2 linked regions of the Saccharomyces cerevisiae S288C genome follow. Each later gene encodes a partner of the first gene's protein in a complex. Each region holds a gene or a part of one and is shown on either strand. Other genes may lie near its edges. A codon is read from its position in the direction of its gene.

Region 1 (6,837 bases):
GCTTATGGTTGAACAATTAGTGCCAATTATTGTTCAGCACGGGTTATACTTCGCTATCTGTAATATTGGTGCTTGGACTCAACCGCTCGTTACATTATATTACATGAATTACATTGTCAAGTTTATTGAATTTATAGACACCTTTTTCTTGGTGCTAAAACATAAAAAATTGACATTTTTGCATACTTATCACCATGGCGCTACTGCCTTATTATGTTACACCCAATTGATGGGCACCACATCTATTTCTTGGGTCCCTATTTCATTGAACCTTGGTGTTCACGTGGTTATGTATTGGTACTATTTCTTGGCTGCCAGAGGCATCAGGGTCTGGTGGAAGGAATGGGTTACCAGATTTCAAATTATCCAATTTGTTTTGGATATCGGTTTCATATATTTTGCTGTCTACCAAAAAGCAGTTCACTTGTATTTCCCAATTTTGCCACATTGTGGTGACTGTGTGGGTTCAACAACTGCCACCTTTGCAGGTTGTGCCATTATTTCTTCATATTTGGTACTATTTATTTCATTTTACATTAACGTTTATAAACGTAAAGGCACCAAAACCAGTAGAGTGGTAAAGCGTGCCCACGGCGGTGTTGCCGCAAAGGTTAATGAGTATGTTAACGTTGACTTGAAAAACGTTCCTACTCCATCTCCATCACCAAAACCTCAACACAGAAGAAAAAGGTAAGTGTAAAATCTTTGAAAGAATTTAAGTATTCAACTTTCGTATATTCGTTTTTTCTTAGTGGATCTATTGTTACTATTATCACTATTATTATATTGTAAAAGACCGGATGGTTTTGTTATATATTACATACACATGTTATCGTTGAAAAAAGTTTTCCGTTTCCTTTCGACAGTCATCAGATAATTTTATCCGAGTCTTTTATATGTTAAATCTTGTTGACAAATCGTCCGCTCTAACCCTAGATAACAACAATGATCTTTTTATCATTTCTGGCGTTATTTTAGCGCCTCCTCCCACTAATGTTAATTGCTTATAGTTACCTGAAGGAGCAGCGAGGATGGAGATCGTACTGTGTATACTTGTTTCTTCCGCTTCAGTATCTAGGTCTGCTATTAGCACAGTGTTCAATTTATCCATATCAATGTCCACTTCCTCTTCTTCAGAGTTATCAGAGTTTTGTAATTGGCATTCGGGGTCTAACTCCACTATCCCATAATTTGAAGCAAATGCAATATTCTTTGCGTTTATCATTAACGGTACTGACTTAGTTTGGTCGCAAATAATTTCATACGTTTCTCTTATGGTGGCACTTCTTCCTCTTGTTCTTATAGTCATTCTTAAATCGGACGCACGCTCATCTATAAATGCTCTAGGTAACTTTACGCTCTGTAAAGCGTACATCAAAGAATTCCAACACAAATCGAAGACTGGACCAGTGCGACTCAAGACTACAATTTTCGCATACAAAACGTATGACCATTTTCTTTTCATTTTCAGGTTTGTTTCATTCAGCGTATCATCTTCTAATTCATCGGGATACAAGACGGAAAACGTACCGTCTTCATTCGCACTACGAACACCAGCTTTTACCTTCAAGGCTTTTTTAGGCAATATCCTAGAGTGCAATATGGAATCGTGTAGTTTTTGTGATATAGTCATTTCTTCATCGGTGCAAGCGCCCACTCTACCTCTTTCAACTTCCACCACCGGATAGACAGAAGCATAATTTGCAATTATGTCCTCCTCTTTGGTCACTTCGAACAATTCTTCCTCACCGAAATCATCCAAATCTTTAATCGCGGCGCTAGTTTCTTCTATTATTCCACCCGTAATAGAAGTTATGACTATGGTTTTCCCACTTTTCAAAACATTTGAGCCTAAAATGTTGTTTTTAGTGTCTATATTACCAGCATCCGCATAACGCGATAAAGTATTATTTTCTATAGCAACATCTCTAAATTCTTCATATTTTCTTAGACATGGCCTGATTCCTAGGGATAAGTGTCTTTGTAAAGACAATTCTGGAGATATTCTCGCAAGAACTTCAGGTGGAAAAGTAATTGGGTGTATCTCAATAGTTTCTAACGTGGTACTTTCAGCCATTTCCAATATTAGATGCCTGTGAAACTACTGTCAAACTTATTTGTGTAACAATACTCATCGTCTAATTTGTCCATTATTGTTATATACTCTGTCATAAAAAAAGAAAGAAAAATCTTATACTTTCGTCGACTGTGATTTGAAAATCTCTCCAGATCAAACGGGAATAAAAGGGTTTATATCCGAAGGTGGCCAGAACAATCATGAAGCAAATAGGATAAAAATAGCCAATAAGATGTTTGTTGTCTTTCATCCCAAAGTTCCAACAGCATATTTCAAAGATGGGTATTACAGTAATAGGTTCTCTAAACTATGATTTGGACACATTTACGGATAGATTACCTAACGCTGGAGAAACTTTCAGGGCTAACCACTTCGAAACACATGCTGGTGGTAAGGGATTGAACCAAGCTGCGGCCATTGGTAAATTAAAAAACCCCAGCAGCAGATATAGTGTTCGAATGATTGGTAATGTTGGAAATGATACATTTGGTAAACAATTGAAGGACACTTTATCCGATTGCGGAGTCGATATCACTCACGTCGGTACTTACGAAGGCATTAATACGGGTACCGCTACCATACTAATTGAAGAGAAAGCTGGTGGCCAAAATAGGATATTGATTGTAGAAGGTGCTAACAGCAAGACTATTTATGACCCGAAACAGTTGTGTGAAATTTTTCCAGAGGGCAAGGAGGAAGAAGAGTATGTTGTTTTTCAACACGAAATTCCTGATCCTCTTTCCATTATTAAATGGATACATGCGAACAGGCCGAATTTTCAGATCGTATATAACCCCTCACCTTTCAAGGCCATGCCTAAGAAAGATTGGGAGTTGGTAGACCTTTTGGTCGTTAATGAAATTGAGGGTCTTCAAATCGTGGAAAGTGTATTTGATAATGAACTTGTTGAAGAAATAAGGGAGAAGATAAAGGACGACTTTTTAGGAGAATATCGTAAAATTTGTGAGCTTTTGTATGAAAAACTCATGAATCGAAAGAAAAGAGGAATTGTGGTTATGACTTTGGGTTCGAGAGGGGTGCTTTTCTGTTCGCACGAAAGCCCTGAAGTACAATTCCTTCCGGCTATTCAAAATGTTTCGGTTGTTGATACTACAGGAGCTGGAGATACTTTCCTGGGCGGTTTGGTTACTCAATTGTATCAAGGAGAGACCTTGTCTACGGCTATAAAGTTCTCTACATTAGCTAGTTCATTGACCATTCAAAGAAAAGGTGCTGCTGAAAGCATGCCACTGTATAAAGATGTTCAGAAAGATGCATAAAATCTACTGCAATTTTTTACTTTTAGTTTGTTAAATTTTAGTTTTCGTCATATATATAAAGTTTAAAAAGGTACAAAGAATGCAGTAATAAGAAATGTAATTACATGAGGGCAGTTTAAGTGCTACCTTTTAAGACGGAAGAACTAATACCATAACCGAGAGTAATTACGCAGACAAACGCTAACAACGAAGCAGGAACACCTCTGGAGATAAAAGCGCCTACAGTTAGCCATCTATTACCCTTTTTATCGGTCATAGAAATAGCAGTAACGTTTGGAAATCCAGATGAAGCCAACCCCATACCGCATGAGGCTAACAAGGCGCAACCGAACACAAGAATTGGAGCTGCCTTTGGATCGGATAATTTGTCACCAACTTCTTGCACCAAGGGAATAATGATGATTGCTGACACAGTATGTGAGACAAAAGTGCCCACAACTAACATTAAAATACCGAAAATACATAAGATAGCAAAAACACCATCGTTCTGAATTTTCTTTTGTAATGCTCTTGCAATAGTTACCAACAAGCCTGAAGATGAAACTGCCTTACCAAGGGCTATACCACCCATAGCAAGAACAACAATTGACCAAGGGAATGTGTTGAAATCCTTTGTTGATAGTAGACCTGTACCAAAAAACAGGACTATCGGTATTACTGCAATTTCACCGGACGATCCAAAAGCACTTTCTATTTGTGACTCTACACACCATAGAAGAATAGTAGCAATAGTTACAATGATGATAAAATATTGCTTTATAGTAAATCTGGTCCTTATTGGTTTAAATTTTTCCAGTTTAGTTTTGCCTATTTTAAAGGTGAGTATCATCAAGGCCCAGGAGCACAGCATCGATAGAATACCTGTAGGCAGAGCGACAGCAAAAAATTGCCCCCAGCCGATTCCATAAGGTTTTAAGTACTGCATGGAGATGATATTCTGTGGCGAAGAAATAGGTGAAGCCATACCACCAATATCTGCCGAAAGTGCAACACCCATGACTAATGCCTTAGCAAACGGTGAAGTGTAGTCCAGCGGATCTAGTAAGGGTGTTAATAGAGAATATGTCAATACTGGGGAGGCAACGTTGGAAATCCACATCGAAAGAAAGAATACAACACTCATTGCCATTAAAAGGACATTTCTTGGCTTGGTACCTGCAAGGGCCAATAACCACGATGCCAAAACTTTCGCAACGTTATATTGCGACAAGGCTTCACCCAATGTGAAACCTGCTAATAAAATCATAATTGTTGACGACCACATTGTACCTAAGATTTCTGTAGAGGCAGCTGCTGCTCCCATTACCTTACCGTCATCGTCTTTTAGTACCCTAAAAAGGACAGTTAGAAGGGGAACCAATAAACCTGTGATGTGTAATGGAATGGCTTCACTAGCCCATAAGAAAGCACAGCATTCTACCAATGCCATACACCGGTGTTCGACAGGGTCATTGAAAGTTTTAACACCCAACAAAACACCTGTGACAATGATAATGAAGCCTATTTTCATTGCTCTTTTCCCAAAAAATAGCTTAGGAACTGCCAAATTTTCAATTTTAGTAAACTTCAAATTAATTGGCTTAGGCAATGGATACTTGAAATATTCAATTTGAAGCTTTTCTTGCATAAGTTTCTCAGCTTCATCTTCAATAGTTATTATATCGTTATTTTGCGAAGAGAGGCCCAACATGTCTTTCCATGTGTTGCTTCTTTCCCAAACAATGTGGTCGTGCAGGTACGACTTTAACTCTTGCTTGCATGAATCTACGTTCCCAGGCTGACCCATGAGAACAGCATAAAATTCAATAAGTTGTGCAATTTTACTGTTTAAACTGCTTAAAGTTTCATGCTGGAAGATGTAGGTGTCTTTGAAAAATTCTTCACTTTCTATTAATTCTTGCCTAGTGTTCATGTGCAATACTTTATCAGACTTCTTAGTAATTTTACTGAAACCCATTCTGTTCAATTCGATAAAAGATTTCAACTGGCAAAGGTCTATGTAAAGATTTATTATTGTCTGTTTTAATAATGACTTTTTCTGAGATTTAATGTTAAATTGCGAATAATTCAAGAGGGCGGTATTGTCGGTAGTGTCAGCAAACACGTCAACGTCATCATCTTCATCCATTTCTTCTTCGCTGTAATCAAACCTATTTCTCAATTCACTGTCGATGTTTGAAGAGTGTATTTCAAATGGGTTATTAGATGAATGTGTCTCTGATGTACCAGAAATAATTTCTCTTAAAGGAGGCAATGCTTGAATTTCAGGATTGAAAGTTTCATTCAATCTTGTTACAATGCCTTCCTTCTCCAAATCATTAATCAAGTGGTCAAATCTTTCATAGAACTTAGCTTCCATTCTTTTGTAGAAATCATCTACTTTCAATTTCTCGTCGCTCAGGTTAGTTACGAATGTATCATAAGAACTGAAGAGCGTCTTTCCCTCGCTACTCACAGATGAGCTGCGTGATTCAAAGAATTTCTTACGTATAAAATTCTTATTGAAAGAGGTGGTTTTCCCTTGAGGAGATAACTCGTCTAACTCAATTGTTTCCTCGTTAATATTGTTCCCATCTATGGCCTTTTCGTCGGAGTCTCCCCTTTTGCTTCCTGAAGGTGTTTTAGAACCAAAGAGCTTACGCTTGAGTTTATGTGTAAATCTTCTTTTCGATGAAGATGGTTCTCCTGCAGCTATGTTGCTTTCTATATCAGCGATTGGACCTGGAGTCTGAGAGTCAGCGTCATCGTTTAAGTCACCGGTTGGCGTTTCTTGTTTCAATTCATCTGTCTGTAATGTGTAGATCAAATTTTTCAATTCGTTATAATCTAGGTAATGATTCTGCCATTCAGGGACAGCGTTGTATTTGAGAAAGTGTGAGAATCTCATTTCGAGGCACAATAATAGCCGCCTTTACCGTAGTTTTGCTGCACCTTTATCTGAGAGCTGACTGCTTTTTTGGTGTGAAACACTGTTTTCTGGTAATAATTTTTCAATGCATCGGATTACTTTTCCCACGTGCGAAATCATCAATTAATTAGATTGAAAAAAGGGTAAGGGAAAATAAGAAAGAGGCGGTAGCCTAAAGATACGGTAATTGAAACGTTTCCTATGCACAATCTTAAACCTTTTTAGGTAATTGATTAAGTTGACTGTAATATCTGTAAAAGATTACATCTAATTTACGTCTGGTTTCTTATCAAAAAATATTATCTACTGTAGTTATGCAAGTATTCTTAATTTTCAGTACTAAACATGAATATTAATTATTTGTGAGCGTACAAGAAGCAAAAGGAAGTCATCTTTCTTTGAACAGTTCTGTTTTTAGGTAAGCCTTGGAACCTTAGCTATACTGACTTGATACGCCCTGTCTTTGTTGTCGTTATATAAAGTGTGCACCTTTATCATAGCCCCTAATAAGCTTCTTGCAGTAGTATTTGAACAGTGTATATCTTCATATTGCTTTTGTTGTAAATATTGCG
Region 2 (4,991 bases), on another chromosome or scaffold:
CCATAGTGGTTGACCACACTGTTTACTTCAAAAAGAGAAACACCAAGAAGACTACAAGGTTGCACAACGAACCCCATTCGCAATTATACATGAAATCGTTGAAAGATCACGAGTCCAGACTAAAGCATTTCAAAGACGGCGGATTCAACATTGCAAAAAGGCATGCGCAACGTGTGGCCTTTGGTGGCCAAGCGGGCGGACAATCGTCTTCCCCCAAGAAAGGCCCATTGTCCATCAAACCGGAGCCTGTTAAGGTAAATCGTCAAATGGATAATGTCACAGCAGAGAAGAAAGATGTTACGCAGCCCATCACGCCGGTGAAGAAGAGAAGATCCGAATCACCGTCAATCTTTCTCAATCGTAAAAAACCTGCGCTATTCAGGCCTACTCCGAAGACAAACGCTGCAGGTTCTCGACCCCATACAACAGCGATCACCAACGATCACCGTACTACTTCTCATCCTTATCCCCACAAAGATGTTGTAACTTCAATATCAAGTGTCACCGCAAATCCCGTAACAAAGGGCCACAAGAAGAAGAAATCCGGAATTTTCGTACGAAATGCCGGATCTGACGGAGATAGTTTTCCGCACGTGACCGCAACCGGCCCTACTACCCGTCCGTATATCTATGAGCCACGGAAATAGCAGTAACCCAACTCCGAAGGCCGTCACATCCCCTGCGATTTCCCACGGGTCCAGTCATTCCGCGGAGAAAGAAAGCAACCGGAAGCAACGGCATCCCTGCTTATAAGCGATTTTCGCGTTGCGCGTCATCTTTTTGTCTTCCGTCTTAGTAATTTTTATGATTTTTTTCATTCCACCCGACTCTATTTGAGTGCAAGCATGCGATATATCTCTCTATATATTGCCAGATCTTTATCGCAATAGGTTCATGCACTATATGCGCATCCCACTCTTGTACATGCACAATATTGTGCTCATTGTCTGAATATATATATATTTATATATATATATGTATGTATATATATCAGTTCTAGATAGACTAATACCACTTCTTCGTTAGAAAAATATTTCAATCCTTATTTTGTTTCTAACTGTTCCCTTCTCTCCATCCAACAAATAATACAAAACCACTTTATATAAAAAAAATTACAAAAGCAAAAAATGTTCAAGAGATTTAGCAAAAAGAAGGAGGCTCCAGAAGACCCAAAAAATTTGATTAATATTGATAAGCCTATCAAAGAACTTCCTGCTTCGATAGCTATTCCAAAAGAAAAACCACTTACAGGTGAGCAACAAAAAATGTATGACGAAGTGCTAAAACATTTCAGTAACCCTGACTTGAAGGTTTATACAAGTGAAAAAAATAAGTCGGAGGATGATCTTAAACCCTTAGAGGAAGAAGAAAAGGCATGGTTGACAAGAGAATGTTTTTTACGTTACCTAAGGGCTACTAAATGGGTGCTAAAAGACTGTATCGATAGAATCACCATGACTCTAGCGTGGAGAAGAGAATTCGGTATTAGTCATTTAGGTGAAGAGCATGGTGATAAAATAACTGCTGACTTGGTGGCCGTCGAGAACGAATCAGGTAAGCAGGTGATTTTGGGTTACGAAAACGATGCTAGACCTATCTTATATTTGAAACCGGGCAGACAAAATACAAAGACTTCTCACAGACAGGTACAGCACTTGGTCTTCATGTTGGAAAGAGTTATCGATTTTATGCCAGCTGGTCAAGACTCTCTAGCTTTGCTAATAGACTTTAAAGATTACCCTGATGTTCCTAAAGTACCTGGCAATAGTAAAATCCCACCTATTGGTGTAGGGAAAGAAGTGCTGCATATTCTACAAACTCATTATCCAGAAAGACTAGGAAAAGCACTTTTGACGAATATTCCTTGGTTAGCATGGACTTTCTTGAAGTTAATTCACCCTTTTATTGACCCACTGACCCGTGAAAAGCTAGTTTTTGATGAACCATTTGTTAAATATGTCCCTAAGAACGAACTAGATTCGTTGTATGGTGGTGATCTGAAATTCAAGTACAATCATGATGTTTATTGGCCAGCTCTGGTGGAAACCGCGCGTGAAAAAAGAGATCATTATTTTAAGAGGTTTCAAAGCTTCGGTGGTATTGTAGGTTTAAGTGAGGTTGATTTAAGAGGTACTCATGAAAAACTTCTTTACCCAGTAAAATCGGAAAGCAGTACCGTGTAAAGGCAAATTTAGATAGATAATGATAATGCACTATAATATATAATAAATAAAAGAGAATAAAAAGTTTAATCACGTTCCCGCTTCTTTTTCCTAACCATCAAAGAATGCAATCTAAAGAAGAAGAAGCGAATACCCTCTTTTAAATATATACGCGTCTATATGCACTGTAGATAAGCTGTTACATATCAAAAAGGTTTGGCACATTTGCGCTTTTCTGTAGCGCCTGTAACCGGTGAAGTCATCATTTGCCAGTCTGTAGCATACATCAATCCACCAGCACCATTAGCAGCTCTGGCGAACACGACCCCAAGGTCATTCCTTGCAGTGGTCAAATAGTAGTTGGTTCCGTCACCTAATGATAAAACTTGCGCCCTAACAATATCTCCCGGCTTGAAACATTCTATCACTTTCACACGATCTCTGTCTGTAGACCGTACATCCTGAGACCTGATTATACCTCTGAATGTCTCACCTAAATCTGATGATGCTTGAGAAACAGAGAACGTAGCTGCTCCAGAACCGCCACCAGCAGCGACTATTCCCGATCCATTACTGCCGATGCCACTATCAATTGGAGATGGTTTATCTTCCACAGCTAAAATTTCGACATTGGCTCGTTGCAACGAAAGCCTTGTCACCCTGGTCAGCACAATATCACCTTCCTTCGGTAGGTTATTGGCAAAATCATTATTAGCATATTTGTTGGTTTTACGACCCTTTTCTGTCCCAGGAAGCACTGAAACCAGAATATTTTTTACAGTTCTTCTTGTGACATCATTAGGTGATGCATCTACTGATTTTTCTTCCTCTGTAGATTGATCAGTGCCTTCACGCTCTTCTTCCTGATCAGTTTTTTTTTCTTCCTCACACCTCACTGTCCCAACTAGTGTAGCAGTTATAGCTTCTAAAGTTCGTCCGTTGTGTTCATATTGAATTAGTTTAGTTCCGGGACCGGGCACATAATTGAAAATTATATCTTCGCCATCTTTATTTTCCGTACCGTACTGTGGGCATATTAGTTTACCTGGATAAGCTATTTCTGGAAACTGAAAATTGCATGCCATTATAATACACTTATAGATTGAGGTATTCAATGCTCTGGAAAAAATCAAAGAATCTTTAATATACAAATGCGTAGTTAATCATGCCGTACCATAAGCTCATCATCAGTGAATTCTGGATCTTATTTTTCTTTCTTTTTTCAATATTTTTTGGAAATTTTTACTTCACGTGACGGAGACGGGTAATGCAGACGGTATTTTGAAATGATGCCGCAAATACAACACATAACACCCAAGATTCTTGCGATAAATTATAGGTTTATAAAAACTAGAATGTCTTGATATGTATGATTTGATTCATTTCCATTTCTCCCAGTTTTCTGCTCTAATAAAAATGTGTGTAACATCGCGAATCATCGTGTACTTCCATTGCGCTCTTTAACTCATTTAATTCCAATTTGATCATTTGAGCCAGTTGTGGAGTAAGCTGGTTACAAGTGGAAATTTCTGGATGTCTATCATATTCGAATTCTCCATAAGTGTCGTAAAGTATTATCTGGGACGAAAACCGGACACCCTGGTCATTATTACTGTTTACATACACCTCACCTAGACTTGTTAAGTCTGATTTTACGGGAGAATCAGGCGTCATGGAGTCAATAAAAGAAGTATTCATTCTTGGGGCTTTTAGTCCTTTAAAGGACATTGAAACAGGTCTATTGGGTTCGAATTCTGGTAAATATGCATTATTTCTTGGAGTAACTTCTATGGGCTGTTCTATGTGTTTGTTGAAATCTTCATTCTCAAATTCGTTGTCATTTATTTCACTTCCGTCTTGTTCAAATGTATGTAATTGACCTTGACGCTCATCTCCGTATGTAGTAGCTCCAGCAGCGGAATAAGATTGAGTTTCTCTTTCTTTGTAACTATCCTCTTTGTTATTTCGTGTATCAAAAGTACCAGAGCGATTTACTTCATCATTTCCAACAGGTTCAGGGGTTTCTGTTGCATATGAGGCCGTTGTATCTCCCAAGTCTAGGTCTAGATTGAGATCATCATCACCGAAGTTAATAAAACTTGCAAACTCCATTATATCAGAAATTAACTCGTTATCATCATCTGCAAAAACGCTTTGCCTTTCAGAATCCTTCTTCAGAGGTTCTTCTCTTGGTTTTGGTACATCCCTTTCAACTTCAGTTTTTTCTTCATCAGAGGCCATCACTAGCTGGTCAAATTTTTGTTCAATAGACTCTAAAAATATGTCATCTTTTTTTAGTGGACCACTATCGTCCTTGATATCTAAAAAGTCCTCATTCGTGGTACCTTCGTAAGAGTGTTCTCTGGAGAAATTATCTGAGTATTCGAACCTTCCATTCTTTAAAATGCTGCTAGCAGGAGACTTCGTCAAGTCTGGAGTAGATAATACAACAGAAGATGCCTCAGTGATGAACATTCCCTCACTTTGCGCTTTGATCGATAGCGTATCTGTCAATGACCTTCTTTGCGAGTTCATTGAACTTCTCTTGTTAGACTTTGTAGATCTTGTTCTTTCTAAAGAAACGATCGAGTCGACTTCATGATTATCCAAAAATTTTGGGAAAAGAACCTCACCTGTATCGTGTTTGGAAAATGCTGGTGAGGGTGCTTCGTAGTCCAGTGATAAAAAATTATCCTTGGTTGGTAATTGAAGATCATTTTTGGCATCATCATCTTCTCTTACGTGTTCTTGTAGCGGGGTATTTATCTGTTTATCACCTCCCAATATGAGATCCATGTTTAAAGGAGTAGGTTTTCTCTGATCAATTGA

Evidence for each region.
Region 2: the proteins of RRP43 (region 1) and CSL4 are in contact, whole or in part, in a cryo-EM structure (PDB 5G06), measured with the Saccharomyces cerevisiae proteins. Residues at the interface, in NP_009964.2 of Saccharomyces cerevisiae: Leu7 (codon at 2,059), Ile10 (codon at 2,050), Glu11 (codon at 2,047), Ile12 (codon at 2,044), His13 (codon at 2,041), Pro14 (codon at 2,038), Ile15 (codon at 2,035), Thr16 (codon at 2,032), Phe17 (codon at 2,029), Pro18 (codon at 2,026), Glu20 (codon at 2,020), Val21 (codon at 2,017), Arg24 (codon at 2,008), Ile25 (codon at 2,005), Ser26 (codon at 2,002), Glu28 (codon at 1,996), Leu29 (codon at 1,993), Gln32 (codon at 1,984), Arg33 (codon at 1,981), Arg138 (codon at 1,666), Gly139 (codon at 1,663), Arg140 (codon at 1,660), Arg222 (codon at 1,414), Glu305 (codon at 1,165), Cys306 (codon at 1,162), Leu308 (codon at 1,156), Glu337 (codon at 1,069); in NP_014167.1 of Saccharomyces cerevisiae: Leu140 (codon at 2,830), Leu156 (codon at 2,782), Ala185 (codon at 2,695), Phe188 (codon at 2,686), Ser189 (codon at 2,683), Val190 (codon at 2,680), Ser191 (codon at 2,677), Ala193 (codon at 2,671), Asp196 (codon at 2,662), Leu197 (codon at 2,659), Gly198 (codon at 2,656), Glu199 (codon at 2,653), Ile229 (codon at 2,563), Arg231 (codon at 2,557), Val255 (codon at 2,485), Phe256 (codon at 2,482), Arg258 (codon at 2,476), Gly265 (codon at 2,455), Leu266 (codon at 2,452), Tyr268 (codon at 2,446), Ala269 (codon at 2,443), Thr270 (codon at 2,440), Asp271 (codon at 2,437), Trp272 (codon at 2,434), Pro278 (codon at 2,416), Val279 (codon at 2,413), Ala289 (codon at 2,383), Lys290 (codon at 2,380), Pro291 (codon at 2,377).

Annotation. Positions count from the first base shown.
Region 1 is NC_001135.5:190,942-197,778, forward strand, and holds RRP43 (exosome non-catalytic core subunit RRP43), read right to left. Parts: upstream 2,078-6,837; coding exon 893-2,077; downstream 1-892. Other genes in the region: fatty acid elongase ELO2, read left to right, coding at 1-694; RBK1 (putative ribokinase), read left to right, coding at 2,356-3,357; PHO87 (SPX domain-containing inorganic phosphate transporter), read right to left, coding at 3,473-6,244; Ras family guanine nucleotide exchange factor BUD5, read right to left, coding at 6,680-6,837.
Region 2 is NC_001146.8:213,179-218,169, reverse strand, and holds CSL4 (exosome non-catalytic core subunit CSL4), read right to left. Parts: upstream 3,248-4,991; coding exon 2,369-3,247; downstream 1-2,368. Other genes in the region: ELA1 (elongin A), read left to right, coding at 1-647; PDR16 (phosphatidylinositol transporter), read left to right, coding at 1,128-2,183; BNI4 (Bni4p), read right to left, coding at 3,570-4,991.